2 linked regions of the Saccharomyces cerevisiae S288C genome follow. The main gene of each other region encodes a partner of the protein of the gene in region 2 in a complex. Each region holds a gene or a part of one and is shown on either strand. Other genes may lie near its edges. A codon is read from its position in the direction of its gene.

Evidence for each region.
Region 1: the proteins of POL12 (region 2) and POL1 are in contact, whole or in part, in a cryo-EM structure (PDB 8FOC), measured with the Saccharomyces cerevisiae proteins. Residues at the interface, in NP_009518.1 of Saccharomyces cerevisiae: Arg248 (codon at 2,098), Thr249 (codon at 2,095), Met250 (codon at 2,092), Arg251 (codon at 2,089), Gln252 (codon at 2,086), Asn253 (codon at 2,083), Leu254 (codon at 2,080), Gln255 (codon at 2,077), Ala257 (codon at 2,071), Ser258 (codon at 2,068), Leu261 (codon at 2,059), Asp262 (codon at 2,056), Ile265 (codon at 2,047), Asn281 (codon at 1,999), Phe283 (codon at 1,993), Ala284 (codon at 1,990), Gln289 (codon at 1,975), Gln291 (codon at 1,969), Ser292 (codon at 1,966), Glu293 (codon at 1,963), Arg299 (codon at 1,945), Val301 (codon at 1,939), Pro302 (codon at 1,936), Pro305 (codon at 1,927), Thr306 (codon at 1,924), Asp308 (codon at 1,918), Asn312 (codon at 1,906), Glu319 (codon at 1,885), Thr320 (codon at 1,882), Ser321 (codon at 1,879); in NP_014297.3 of Saccharomyces cerevisiae: Met547 (codon at 3,276), Lys550 (codon at 3,267), Asn552 (codon at 3,261), Lys553 (codon at 3,258), Gln554 (codon at 3,255), Asn642 (codon at 2,991), Val643 (codon at 2,988), His650 (codon at 2,967), Gly676 (codon at 2,889), Asn681 (codon at 2,874), Ser1134 (codon at 1,515), Ala1139 (codon at 1,500), Pro1141 (codon at 1,494), Gly1142 (codon at 1,491), Ser1286 (codon at 1,059), Pro1288 (codon at 1,053), Ser1289 (codon at 1,050), Asp1291 (codon at 1,044), Pro1323 (codon at 948), Leu1324 (codon at 945), Gln1325 (codon at 942), Thr1327 (codon at 936), Ser1328 (codon at 933), Gln1329 (codon at 930), Glu1331 (codon at 924), His1332 (codon at 921), Arg1335 (codon at 912), Ala1336 (codon at 909), Ile1338 (codon at 903), Ser1339 (codon at 900).

What each region holds. Positions count from the first base shown.
Region 1 is NC_001146.8:427,855-435,000, reverse strand, and holds POL1 (DNA-directed DNA polymerase alpha catalytic subunit POL1), read right to left. Parts: upstream 4,915-7,146; coding exon 508-4,914; downstream 1-507. Other genes in the region: AVT4 (Avt4p), read right to left, coding at 1-2; MET4 (Met4p), read right to left, coding at 5,248-7,146. UniProt on the Saccharomyces cerevisiae protein: Catalytic component of DNA polymerase alpha, which in complex with DNA primase (DNA polymerase alpha:primase) constitutes a replicative polymerase. POL1 has a role in promoting telomere replication during interaction with CDC13.
Region 2 is NC_001134.8:150,772-155,244, forward strand, and holds POL12 (DNA-directed DNA polymerase alpha subunit POL12), read right to left. Parts: upstream 2,840-4,473; coding exon 722-2,839; downstream 1-721. Other genes in the region: YBL036C (pyridoxal phosphate homeostasis protein), read right to left, coding at 1-449; STU1 (Stu1p), read right to left, coding at 3,077-4,473. UniProt on the Saccharomyces cerevisiae protein: Non-catalytic component of DNA polymerase alpha, which in a complex with DNA primase (DNA polymerase alpha:primase) constitutes a replicative polymerase.

The sequences.
Region 1 (7,146 bases), on a different chromosome or scaffold from region 2:
ATTGATGATGTGTTCTAGGATATTGTTATGTTGATTCCAGATTATGAATGACGTTGAAATGTGTTTTAGAGGAGGAATGATGAGTGCCTTTGAACCTAAGGAATCAGATGGCTAAAAATGCTATGTCACCTCGAAAGCAAGAGCAGATCAAGGTAAATGATATCCAACTATATTGTGGGTATTGCTTTTATCAAACTGGCTTATGACAGTGCTTCACAAGATTTAAGCATTCTATTTCATTGATGAAGCTGTTCGCTTATCTGATCTTGCTGATAAGGCGAATCTTAATGCATGGGTTTATTAAAGGATGATGCATGTGAGAACTGATCACCAGAGCCGAAAAAACATTCTCAGAATATCGCTGAAAACCTTCAATAATAAAAGCTTCCTAGCGCTCCTTCCGATGTCTGTACATTAGGTATCTAGTAGGATGCGTATGTACAGTTGTATTCTTTTCTTACTATATAGAATATTCATGAGATCACACAACACATACAAAATACTTACCTAATTTAGCATGAAATCAAATATGCTAGTCATATCAACGTAGCGACGTCCACAATCGTTCAAATATTTTTGAACAACGCTCCGGCCGGTTTCCATTAGTTCTCTGTTTTGTTCTGTTAAAGCCTTAATAGATGATTCTGTCAGCTGTTCCTTGGGGTAGTCGAGATCATCGGGTAGATATATTGGCTTCAATTCTTGCTTTTTATTTTTTTCACAATCGAATAAAGAATCGAAATATAAAAGTTGATTGTACAATTGCTTGTCACTGTATTTGTATCTCATGACACCCGTGCAGCCGTCATTCAAACAACGCTTACCAAAAACGGAGACTTGTCTTGTAACTATACCGCATGTGCTGTCATCACACTGTAACCACCCTGCGTAATATAAGGAAATGTGTGCCCTTATAGAATGCTCTATTTGGCTAGTTAATTGAAGAGGAGTAAAAAGTTGCTCACAATGCTTGCACTGTAAACCATTATATGACACGCGATAGTAATTTGAAGATACAATACCACCAAATGGAAACCTTTTATCGCATGATGGGCAACTTAATTCTAATGTTACAGTATCCTTAAACCTTTCAACGTCTGTAATTGTTGTTTCTAAGGGTTGCAAATTATTAATATCTTCTCCATTGTTATTACCGCCCTCTCTTCTAAAATACTTTTTACTATCTAAACCAAGCGCTTCACTCAAACGCACCACGTTGAAGCTATCAATTCTTTCTAACAACCTTTCTACCGGCGCGAATATTTGTTTCTCGAGATAATATTGTGGATCAGGTATCAAATTGTTACTTTTAATCATTACCTCATTCAATGCATGGGCACGTTCAGCCACAGAAAGAGCCGGCGTATCCGCTGCATTGTCTATTTCATCCTGCTTTGTGATCACAAAAGTGATGACAGAGCCAGCTTTAACAACTCTACCAGCCTTACGCATTCTTAGAGCTACTTGGACTGCAGGCATGTTTTTACCACCTGGGTAGGCCTTGGGATCTTTTGAAAGCTTCATATTGATCTTATATTTATCAATTCTAATGTTATTGGTTTCCACTTTTATTCTGATGTCTTCTAAGTAATCATACACTTCTTGCAATGCTTCTTCTGGGTCCTTATCTGACAGGATGGTGTTTAAAACATGTATAGAAACGTCCCTCGAAAGTGGACAAAATTCACGACGCTTCATGTCCAACCCTTTAACTTCTAGAACAGTAGTTCCATTACCATTTTTGTCCAAATTTACAGTCAAAGCAGCGTACTTTTTCTTGGCATGTAATAGTAACTTCTTAAAAACATTATCAATATCAATCTCCAATAATCTATAGCGCTCATTTACTAGCCTTTTAAATCCCAAGCCAATTTTAATTGCATCCGCATAATTATCACAACCGGTATCTATCATGACCGAATCTGTATCACCATAAACTACAAGAAGATTCATACTTTCAGCTAGTTGTCTTGTATTCATTAAAATCTCACGACCCTTATTAGTGACTAACATGGCGAGCGGCTTTGCGTAAAATCTACTGTTAACATAACCCAAACAACCATACATAGAATTGGCAGTCAATTTTAGAGCTTGTTGACGAATATCACATTGAACTCGCTTATGGGGATCAGTTTCAGTTTTCATCACCTTCTTAACTTCACGTCGACGATCCACCAGATTAGCTAATAACCTTGGTAAAACACCCTGATCCACCTCTGAAGGAGGTACGCTTGGTAACTCATCGATATCTTCCTTATTTCTATCAACGGTGGTAAAACATATATTAAATTCCTGGATAATAGATGGATACAAAGAATTAAAGTCCATGACTAAAACGTAATTCTTATGAAGACCTTTCTCAGGTTCAAAAACTAAACCACCCTGATATTTTGCCTTTTTAGAATTAACTGGTGCATCAGCATTTTCTTCATTTTGTCTTTGTTTCTGAGCTCTACTTCTATTGCCTTCTTTGTCAGGAACAATAAAACCATTTCTTGAAAATTCATGTAGTAAGATATACTCATTTCTACCAGCTCTTGTACCGCCTAGCGTTTGGGCCCATGCATTACCAGCCAAATTTGTCAACTGTTTAGTCAAGGTTAATAATTGAATTCTATAAGACACCTCAGCAGAAATCATACAATTAGTAATATTCTCTTGTAGGGCCATTGTCATACTATTTACATCATTTTGGTATTGTGGATTTTGATAATCAATATCTAACGGCTTATGCTCCTTTTCACATGTAACTTGATACATCTCTGAAAGATCCCAACTTTGACATTTGGGTGTTAATGATTGACCCATTTCATTGGCGATATCACATATCAGCCTACCAGAGCAAATGTCACTAATAAAAAAATGGTTCATATTCGAATTTCCTCTACCGAATTTTTCAGGCCAAGTCCTTCTTAAACGACGGCCAATAGAGCTGAACGTTGGAATGTTGAGATCATGCATTCTATGAGCTAAAACATCTAAGTAGACATTTTGCAAACGATGGCCTATGATAACATCTGGGTCTTCCACTTTTAACATAGCACAAAAACAAGATAGCATGGCCTTTTCGTTGTTGAACAACCTGACTCTACCGGGTAGTTTCTGTTTTGCCAGTGCAGCTAAACCTAATGGGAAACTAGTTGACTGAGGCGGCCTTACTAAAGTACACAAGTCGTCTGGTTTTATATTTTCAGGTATCGGTGAATCCAACGAGATATTTCTATATGCTGATAACGTTATCGAAACAATCTCTTGCTTATTTTCCTTGGGATTCATTAACGTCTGAATCGATAAAGATAGACATCTCAGATTAGGCATTGTCTTTGTTGTAGTAGGCGTGATATTCTGAGGCTTATCTACCGAAACTTCAACCGCACAGTGAGAAGCATTACGAATTGAATTGAAATCTGCTCCCTTTATATCTAACCAGCATGGTCCCATAATCCTATTTTGAATAACAAAACTTTCAAAAATATTGGAATTCCCACCAAAAACATGATAAAAGGTATCGCTAGATAAATCCGATGGAATGGTGTCTCGACTGGACTTCGGTGTTTGGTATGGAAGTAAGACTTTCAAATAATCACTTTCAGATGGAATGTCAGGAAGCTCAAACGAATATTTCATTTTTTGAGGTTTAGCGCGGATATTATCCAGTCCATATTTATCCATCAGTAACGGAATTATTTCCTCGTGTATATCGGTAGGTGTTTTACCCTCTCTTGGAAGGAAAAATAGCTCTCTACAGAGACCGTTGATTTGAACCATGGCTGACACACAATTATCATCCTTTAGTTTAACCTTACCAAATAAAATCAAAGTGTTGTTCACTTCACAGTAATCCAACCAAAACATTTGGAAAGTATCAGTTTCCGGATCTACCACATCTTCCTTTTTGACATTAACCGCAAGTGTAGCAACATCGGTGTTGCTCTGCAAAGATTTACTTGGAGTTAGTCCTTTAATACCGATTGGCGTTCCGGGTGCTGTGACAAACGGTGAAGTTGAAGGGTTACTTCTTGAGTCTATATTCACGCGTCTAGTTGTTGTCACACTTCTCATAGTTCTTCTTTTCAGAATAATATCTTCATCACTATCTTCATCATCTTCTTCATCAGCCAAACTTTGAGCGGATGGTGGATTTGCTAGTAACGTATCTTGAAGTACATTCTGTCTCTTTGTGGCTACTACTGGGGAATTTTCCACATCATCCAATAAATCCTGTACATCATTTGCGTAGCGCAGTTTCCTGCTTTGTAATTTTAACGGTGATGATTCGATTTCTAAATATTTATCAGTACTTGAATCTGGATCAATCTTGACTTTTTTAGAAATACCGGCATCATGACTTGACTCATCGTTTCCGTTAACTCTCTTTATTGACGATTTAAATTCACTAGTCGGCGAAGAATTTAAATTTTCCCTTAATTTGGATGGCAGTAAAATATTGGGTTTTTCTACTTCACCAGATTCAAACTCACCAAGAATGTCATCAAAATTATCGATGGGGATACTTTTTTTTTGGGATTTTTTTGCATGTGCTAGCAGTGTTGATTTGGAATGTTGAGTTCGCAGCATATCTGTAATCTGGTGGTCTTTCTCCCTTTTTATATTCTTCTTCCTTTTAGAATCCTTGCTAGCAAGGTTTCCAGTGTCTTCATCACTTGAACTGTTATCAACTTCCCTCCAATCTTCTTCGACACCACGATCGACGTAGCCTACACCATCGTCATCTACAACAAAATCGTCATGCAGCAATTCCTGGCGCTTTCTGGCCCTGTATTCTTTTTCGTCGATTTCGTCGTATATTCTGTCACCATCTGATTCGTCACCTTCGTAATCATCGATGGATGTACCATTTCGAGCGGCTTGCAGCTTTCTCAATTTTTCTAATTTTTCACTTTTAGAAGACATTTTCCACTGTTTATTTTATGCCTTGATACTATTTGGTTTCTAATAGCAGAGTGAAGACAGTTTTTTTTCTCGTGAGTCTGAATTGGTATGTGTTCGTTGTCTAGACCAAGAAGATATATATCATCCAATGAGTAAAGAATTTAATTCAGTAAAATTGGATACACGCGACGCGTTTTACTTATAGGCTAACAAAAAAATTTTAACGCGTTTGAATAGATGTGTGATGAATGAAGAATAGAGATTGCAGGCAGTACAAGAAAAAAGTTATATTTCTTTAAGAAAAATGCACGTATATATATATATATATATAATTAAACTGTATAGTCTGTTATTTTATTCTTTCTGAACCTTCTCAAAAATTTGCTTCTTTAAGCTTTCAGCTTTTTTTATTCCTTCCGTTTCACCGCTACTCAGAACTAAATTCTTTAAAAGCTTGTTTTCCGTTTCTAACGTATGTATCCGTTTTTGTAAGGATGCTGCAATTTCGGTCAGTTCATGTATCGATGATTCTAACTCCTTTTCCTTTAGTTTTTTTTTTTGATGAGATTTTTTCGACTGTATCAATAAATCTTCATCGTCGTCCCCTAACTCTTTCTTGATCAGTTGCTTCTTTTCAAAGCCGTGTAAATCTGCATCGTCATATTCATCGTCTTCATTATCAGAATACTTGCGGTCGACGGGTACTTTTTTATTTTTCAAATCTCCGGAGTGTGATCTTTTTAAACTATTTTCCTTGTGATCAGAAGAACTTGCATTTAAAGTTGGCTCGGATCGTATCTTGGCAATTTCGTCTCCACGCGTCGTACTTGACTTAATAACAGCGTTATTATGATGGACATTATCGTTTCCATTGTTACCGTCACTCTCTCTTGATATTTTATGATCGTTTCGTGAAGGTTGTCGTTGATTGTGAATATTATTACTTTTTGGATGCTTTATGCCCAGTTCCAAAATGGAGCTTAGAAAAGAAGCCTCTGCTACTACACCGTGCTCATTGAACGAAGGCGACGTTGATAAGGTAGTTGGCGCAGCAGTTTCAGCCGGAGAGGGTGGTATTAAGACACTTAAAAGTTCGTTGATGTTTTTTAGAATGGGTGCCTCTTGACTGTCATTGGTGTTGATGTTTTTATTATTATTACTGTTATTTTCCCTAATCTTTTTTTGATGATGATACGCCATTATTGCGGCTATAGCATCTATTTGATCATTGTCAAATCCCGCGCTGATCAACGAGTTATATGCGCCGTTGGGCACGTTGACCCTCGGTAATAGAGTTACTAAAACAGAGGTTGGTATAATTGAATAGTCAGGAACAGTTATATTGGGGGCTTTGTTGGAGCTGTTATTATCGCTGTTACTATCGACTTTGCTTTCCGAATGTTTTCGTTGTTGTGAAGAGGAATTTTGAGCAGAAGTGACATTGCTTAGGGGGGAGGAGCGGTTCGGTGTGTGTGTTGTCCTATGTAGTAGATTTGATAGCGCATCCACTCCATTGTCACCGGTAGTATTGTTCTCAGTTGATGTAATGTCAACATTTGTGAAGCCGCCATGGTCGATTGATGTCATATTAGTTGCGTCAGCGGGAAACTGAGAAGGGCTTCCCATAAAGTTTGGCTCAAAAGGATGGTTATTTTGCATATTGTCGCCAAAGTTGTTTGTTTCGCCGTTATTGCCATTTCTTTTGTTTTTGGACGAAAATCGAGACTTTGATTGGTCGTATTGGGAAGTTAGGAAAGTATTCCTTCTTTGAGTCAAGAAGTGAGGATTTCTTTGTCTATTATTGGTAGAAGGGTCCTCATGCAATACGTCGTGGTTGCTATGGTCGTCATTACCATTATTGCTGTTGTTATTGTTATTGCTCGGCTTATCCTCGTCTGGGAAGATGAAAGAATCGTCGGCAAACGCACTCAACTCAATGGCTAGTTGTTCATCCAAGTCAAAAGGATTTGCATTTATGCTGCTGAAAGTGTCCGCGCCATTATTGTTTGCATTATTATGGGTGGTATTCACATTCCAATCCACATTAGAGAACTCGTTATCCAGAGATGGTATGAAGTTATCCACGTAGGCCAACTGTTCTAAGAGTATTTCTGGCGTGACAGCGTGGTCATATAGGTTAGTGTTGCCCCTATTGGTAACGTCACCTATTAGGGGGCGCCTATTCTCGCTGCTGGTCACCAGAGAAGATGACGATGAGGCTGTTGCCACAAACTGGTCCAACGAGTTCGTGCT
Region 2 (4,473 bases):
TGATCCTCATGGGAGGTATTAATTTGAACATTACACAATATTGGGTTGCAATCTGGTTGAAATTTAGCCCTCGATTCGTTTAATTTTTTGGCTTTCTTCAAGGAGTCGATTGTTTCAACAGAGTATAAATTTGGCACTTTAGCCAAATCTTTACATTTATTCGTTTGCAAACCGCCAATAAAGTGCCACTTGATATCGTCTGGTAGTAATTTTGCCTTTTCGATCAACTCTTGAACATAGTTTTCCCCGAACTCCCTCACACCATGGTCGTAAAGAATTTGTATATCGCTAGCTGGTTTCAATTTCGAAACAACCAATAATAAAATTTTGGAGGCATTTTCATTAACATGAACATTTTTTGCCTCTGCATTCACAACTTCCCTTACAGATTCGTATTGGGCAATTAATTGTGTCTTTCTATCTTCATCATAAGTAATACCAGTGGACATATTGCAATGTGATGCTGGAATCTTAGTCAAAAAGGAAAGAGTGATGCCTATCAGTTTTTTTTTTTATTATGCATTTAAGAGTAGTCTCTACTTATGAACATTTTCTCTGGCCTCTGATCACGTTACTTTATTACCCGGATACTGATCATGTTATGGTCTTTAATCAATAAGTAAGTTATAGAGCCAGTTTCAAGGTCGATAGTTCAGGTGTATAACAATACTTTTTGGTGCTACCTTGAGCTATTCCATTAGTTAAGTTTGAATTAAATATATCAACTAGCAATCAAGTCAACTCTAGCGCGCTTCCACACGTTGTGTAGATAAACTGGCTCTTCACCTTCAACAAGCGTCAATTTCCCGTCTTCAAGATCAGGGCATTGGACAGTAATTTGTGCATAGGATCCCCTGTTACCTGTTGCTCTAATAAATCTTCCGGGATTTATAACAACTACGTTTTGGACAACTCTTGCAAAGTGTTGTAATTCACTGGGTATAATCATTATGTCAGGCGAGAACCCACCAACAAACTCTGTTAGTCCCAGATAACTCACGTCTAAATCTGCACCAGATATATGTTCATAAACTTTTTCTTCTTTGCTTTCCATATCATTGGTTTCCTTCTTCGTAGATACGTCTTTTGGTTTTATTCTTGTACGAATACTACCTGGAAATATGGGGTAATACCTGCGCTGTTGTAAAATATGCTCAGAAACACGATCTAATCTATATCTTGATGAGGTAGTACCGCCTTTTATGACTTCCTTTAGATCTTTGAATGTATCAACGTTTGAGCAACCGAAGTATATCTCATTTATTTGAAAAGATGAAGGATTAGCCATGCATTTGAAGTTCCTTTTAGGCAGCTGTAAAGCCTTTCTAATTAAAGAAGCTTGTGGATATGCGGCGTGATTAGAAATTGCATCTTTTGTGGAGGGTATCAATACGGTTTGGATATGTGGTGATATGGTTTTTAGAATAGGAGTAAATAACTTCAAAAAAAGCTCGTCCAATGTTTTGGGCTGTGTCTTGAACTGGGGAAAATTTGGCAATTTACCACTCGCTATCAGAGGATGGGTGATATCTATAAATGGGCCAAACATTATCAAGACGTGAGGTTTTACCTCATTATTTATACTATCGATAAATTCTTGCAACAATTCGAGGGAGAAGTTATCATTTGCAAAGTATGGGCCACAGGTCACGATAACCTTCAAAGAAGAACCTTCCAAATTTGCTTGAAACTCCTGCAGTTCCTGCGATGTGGACACTGGGGAGTTTGGATAAGGTAGCGGCAAAATAGAGTTAACGGTGAAGTAATCCCCATTAGCATTTTTACCTTTGAATGCCACAATTTGGCCTAAGAAAAACGAAAGCTCGTTGACCTGCGATAGATCTAACCTTACCCTTCTTCCAACGCCGCCCATTCTTGAGGTCTCTAGGGAAAGCGATTCTGGATTCAAAAACTTGTCGTAGGTCGGCGAATCTGGAACTATCCTTCCAACAGCATAAATTTCGGACTGAGATTGAATAGTTGGATCAGCGAAGTCGTTTGGAGATAACTTATAGTGATTTTGAATAATCTTAGTAAACGATTCAATTTGATCATCGAGGACATCAGACGCTTCCTGTAAGTTTTGCCTCATTGTTCTGAATTTATACTTTTTAGCATCATAAAATGGTTCTACTTTGACCTGGTTATATGATGGTTCTTCAGTCGAAAGAAGGCCTACATTTGGATTACCAGATGATATTTCAATATTTTCAGGGTTCAAAGAATCCAAAATTTCACCAGCAGGAACATTTTGCCTCGATGTGGTAGGAGTGTTTGTTGTTGGAGTTTGGAATGTCGACGAGCCGGGAGTCTTGGCATCCGAGCTTTTAGCGTGGGACAATGGAGCACTGTCACCCACAGCATCTTCTGCCATGCCTGGAGTAAACTCCAATTTTAAAGAACTATTTCCTTTTTCATTTGTTTCTGCCTCAGAGCCTACATTATATGTTTGCTTGGAATCACTGAGTGAAAAGGGACCATGTAACTTTCTTTTTTTTAAAGTCGGAGTCTTTGGAATACTAAGGCCAAACAAGGGACTTGAATTCAAACTTTTTTTAATCACTGGTTTTTTTGTGGATGTGTTTACCTTAGAGGACGATGAAATTTGGTTAGCACGCTTTTCCATTTGTAATTGTAAAAATTGTTTAAACTCATCTATGTTCTTGGAAGTCAGATCTGTGTGAGTTTGACGCCTTTGATTGGAGAACTGCTCCCATTTAATGTATAGATCCTCGACGGACAATGCATGCAGTTTAGTTAAATTCTCTAATGCAGTGATGATTTCCGGCTTGTCTGCATCAGGCCCAAAATGAGTGATGACATCGATAGATCCGCTCATTTTTTTTTTTTTCAGTCACTTGCTCCTGCCTAAATTTACCTTCAAGCTTTGTTGAACCAATTGACAATCAATTATCTTGATATTTTTATATGCAAATATATTATGTATATGAAACAAAATGTTATATGTGTCTACAAAGAGCTCATATTATTACAGTTTTAGAAAAGAGAAAGAACTAAGAAACTCTGGTGAGACGCGTCACGGTAAAAAAAAATTACGCGTCTACCACGCTATTCTCTATTCGTTTGAGGCGATGAACATGATCATTTTAAAGACATTCTTAGGCAAACAATCGAATAATCGTTCGGTTTCTTGCTCAGTATAATCTGGAGTAGTTTGGAGGACTCTCAAACAACGAGCTAATACCACGGCACTGGTGAAGTTCCACGAAGTATTATCAGTCCCCATAATGAAATAGCTCATTGTTTGGATAATCTCTGATATATTAGATTTCTTGAATTGTTGGCAAATGGTAGGAGATTGCAGCATCTTCCATAAGGTCTCAATTAAAAATGTTTCTTTCACACCAGCGGTGTCAGGCTGAATTTCAGTAACCAACATGCTTAGAATTCTTGTTGCCGAATGTTTTTTGAAAAAGTGCGATAACATTAGACTGTCCCTGAACTCTTGCGCTAATTTATAGATTTCGTTTCCATAATCAGAAAATTTATTAAGCATTAAAAGGATCTGTTCCCATACTTCTTCGAAACACATTCTCACCGAAACGCCATCATCGTCGGCATTCTCGCTTAGTGTATTTAGAAACTTTTTCCAAACCAAAAGACAATGAACGAGAATTATGGACTTACTGGATATTTTTGATGGAATTGAAGGCGTGTCATCAGTAGATTTCAAAAGCATAATAGCAACATCCAGTAGTTCATCAAAACCATTTTCATTCGTCAACCAATCGGTCATTTTTTGATTTTGAAAACAAGTAATCAAGGGTTCGATCAGGTAATTTATATGTTTCATAGTGAACGATCCACTTTTTATCCTGTTTATTGCCTTTGACATGTGATTGAAATAGACATCAAAATCCATCAAAGTGTTGCCATTAGAATCAACCATTAAAAGATGACTAATTTCATATACAGTCAAGGAATCCCTTGGGAAATTATCCATGATAAGCAAATGCATCTTCTCTGATTTTTTGTTATTAACTAGTTTCATCTTTTTGGAGTTTATGTCTTGTTCAGTTAGTGCTACGTCTCTTTCTCTCTTTACTGTGATCCTTTGCTTTTGACCCATATTCTCGTCCCCGTTTATTTTGATTGGTGACATTGTTTCCAAATCAGGCTTTTCATTCTCATTCCCATTTCCAATAAGTTTTTCTGGCTCATTTATTATCTTTGGAGGATCTGTACTGAATTTTACTGTTGGTTCATTATCGTCCTTCAATTTCCTTTCGGTATTTTCACCACTGTTTTGAAAAATTTCACTTAAATTCAAATCAGATTTTTGAGAATTTTCCATATCTATATCATCTTCCTCCTTTGCTGGGTTTGGCTGGTCCAGTTGATAAACACTTACTATTTTCGTCATTTCTGAAAGCTTTTTATCTTTGTCATTATCATCATGAATAACTACGCTGTCTGTGCTTGATGTTCTTTTTCCAACGTTATTCTTCAACT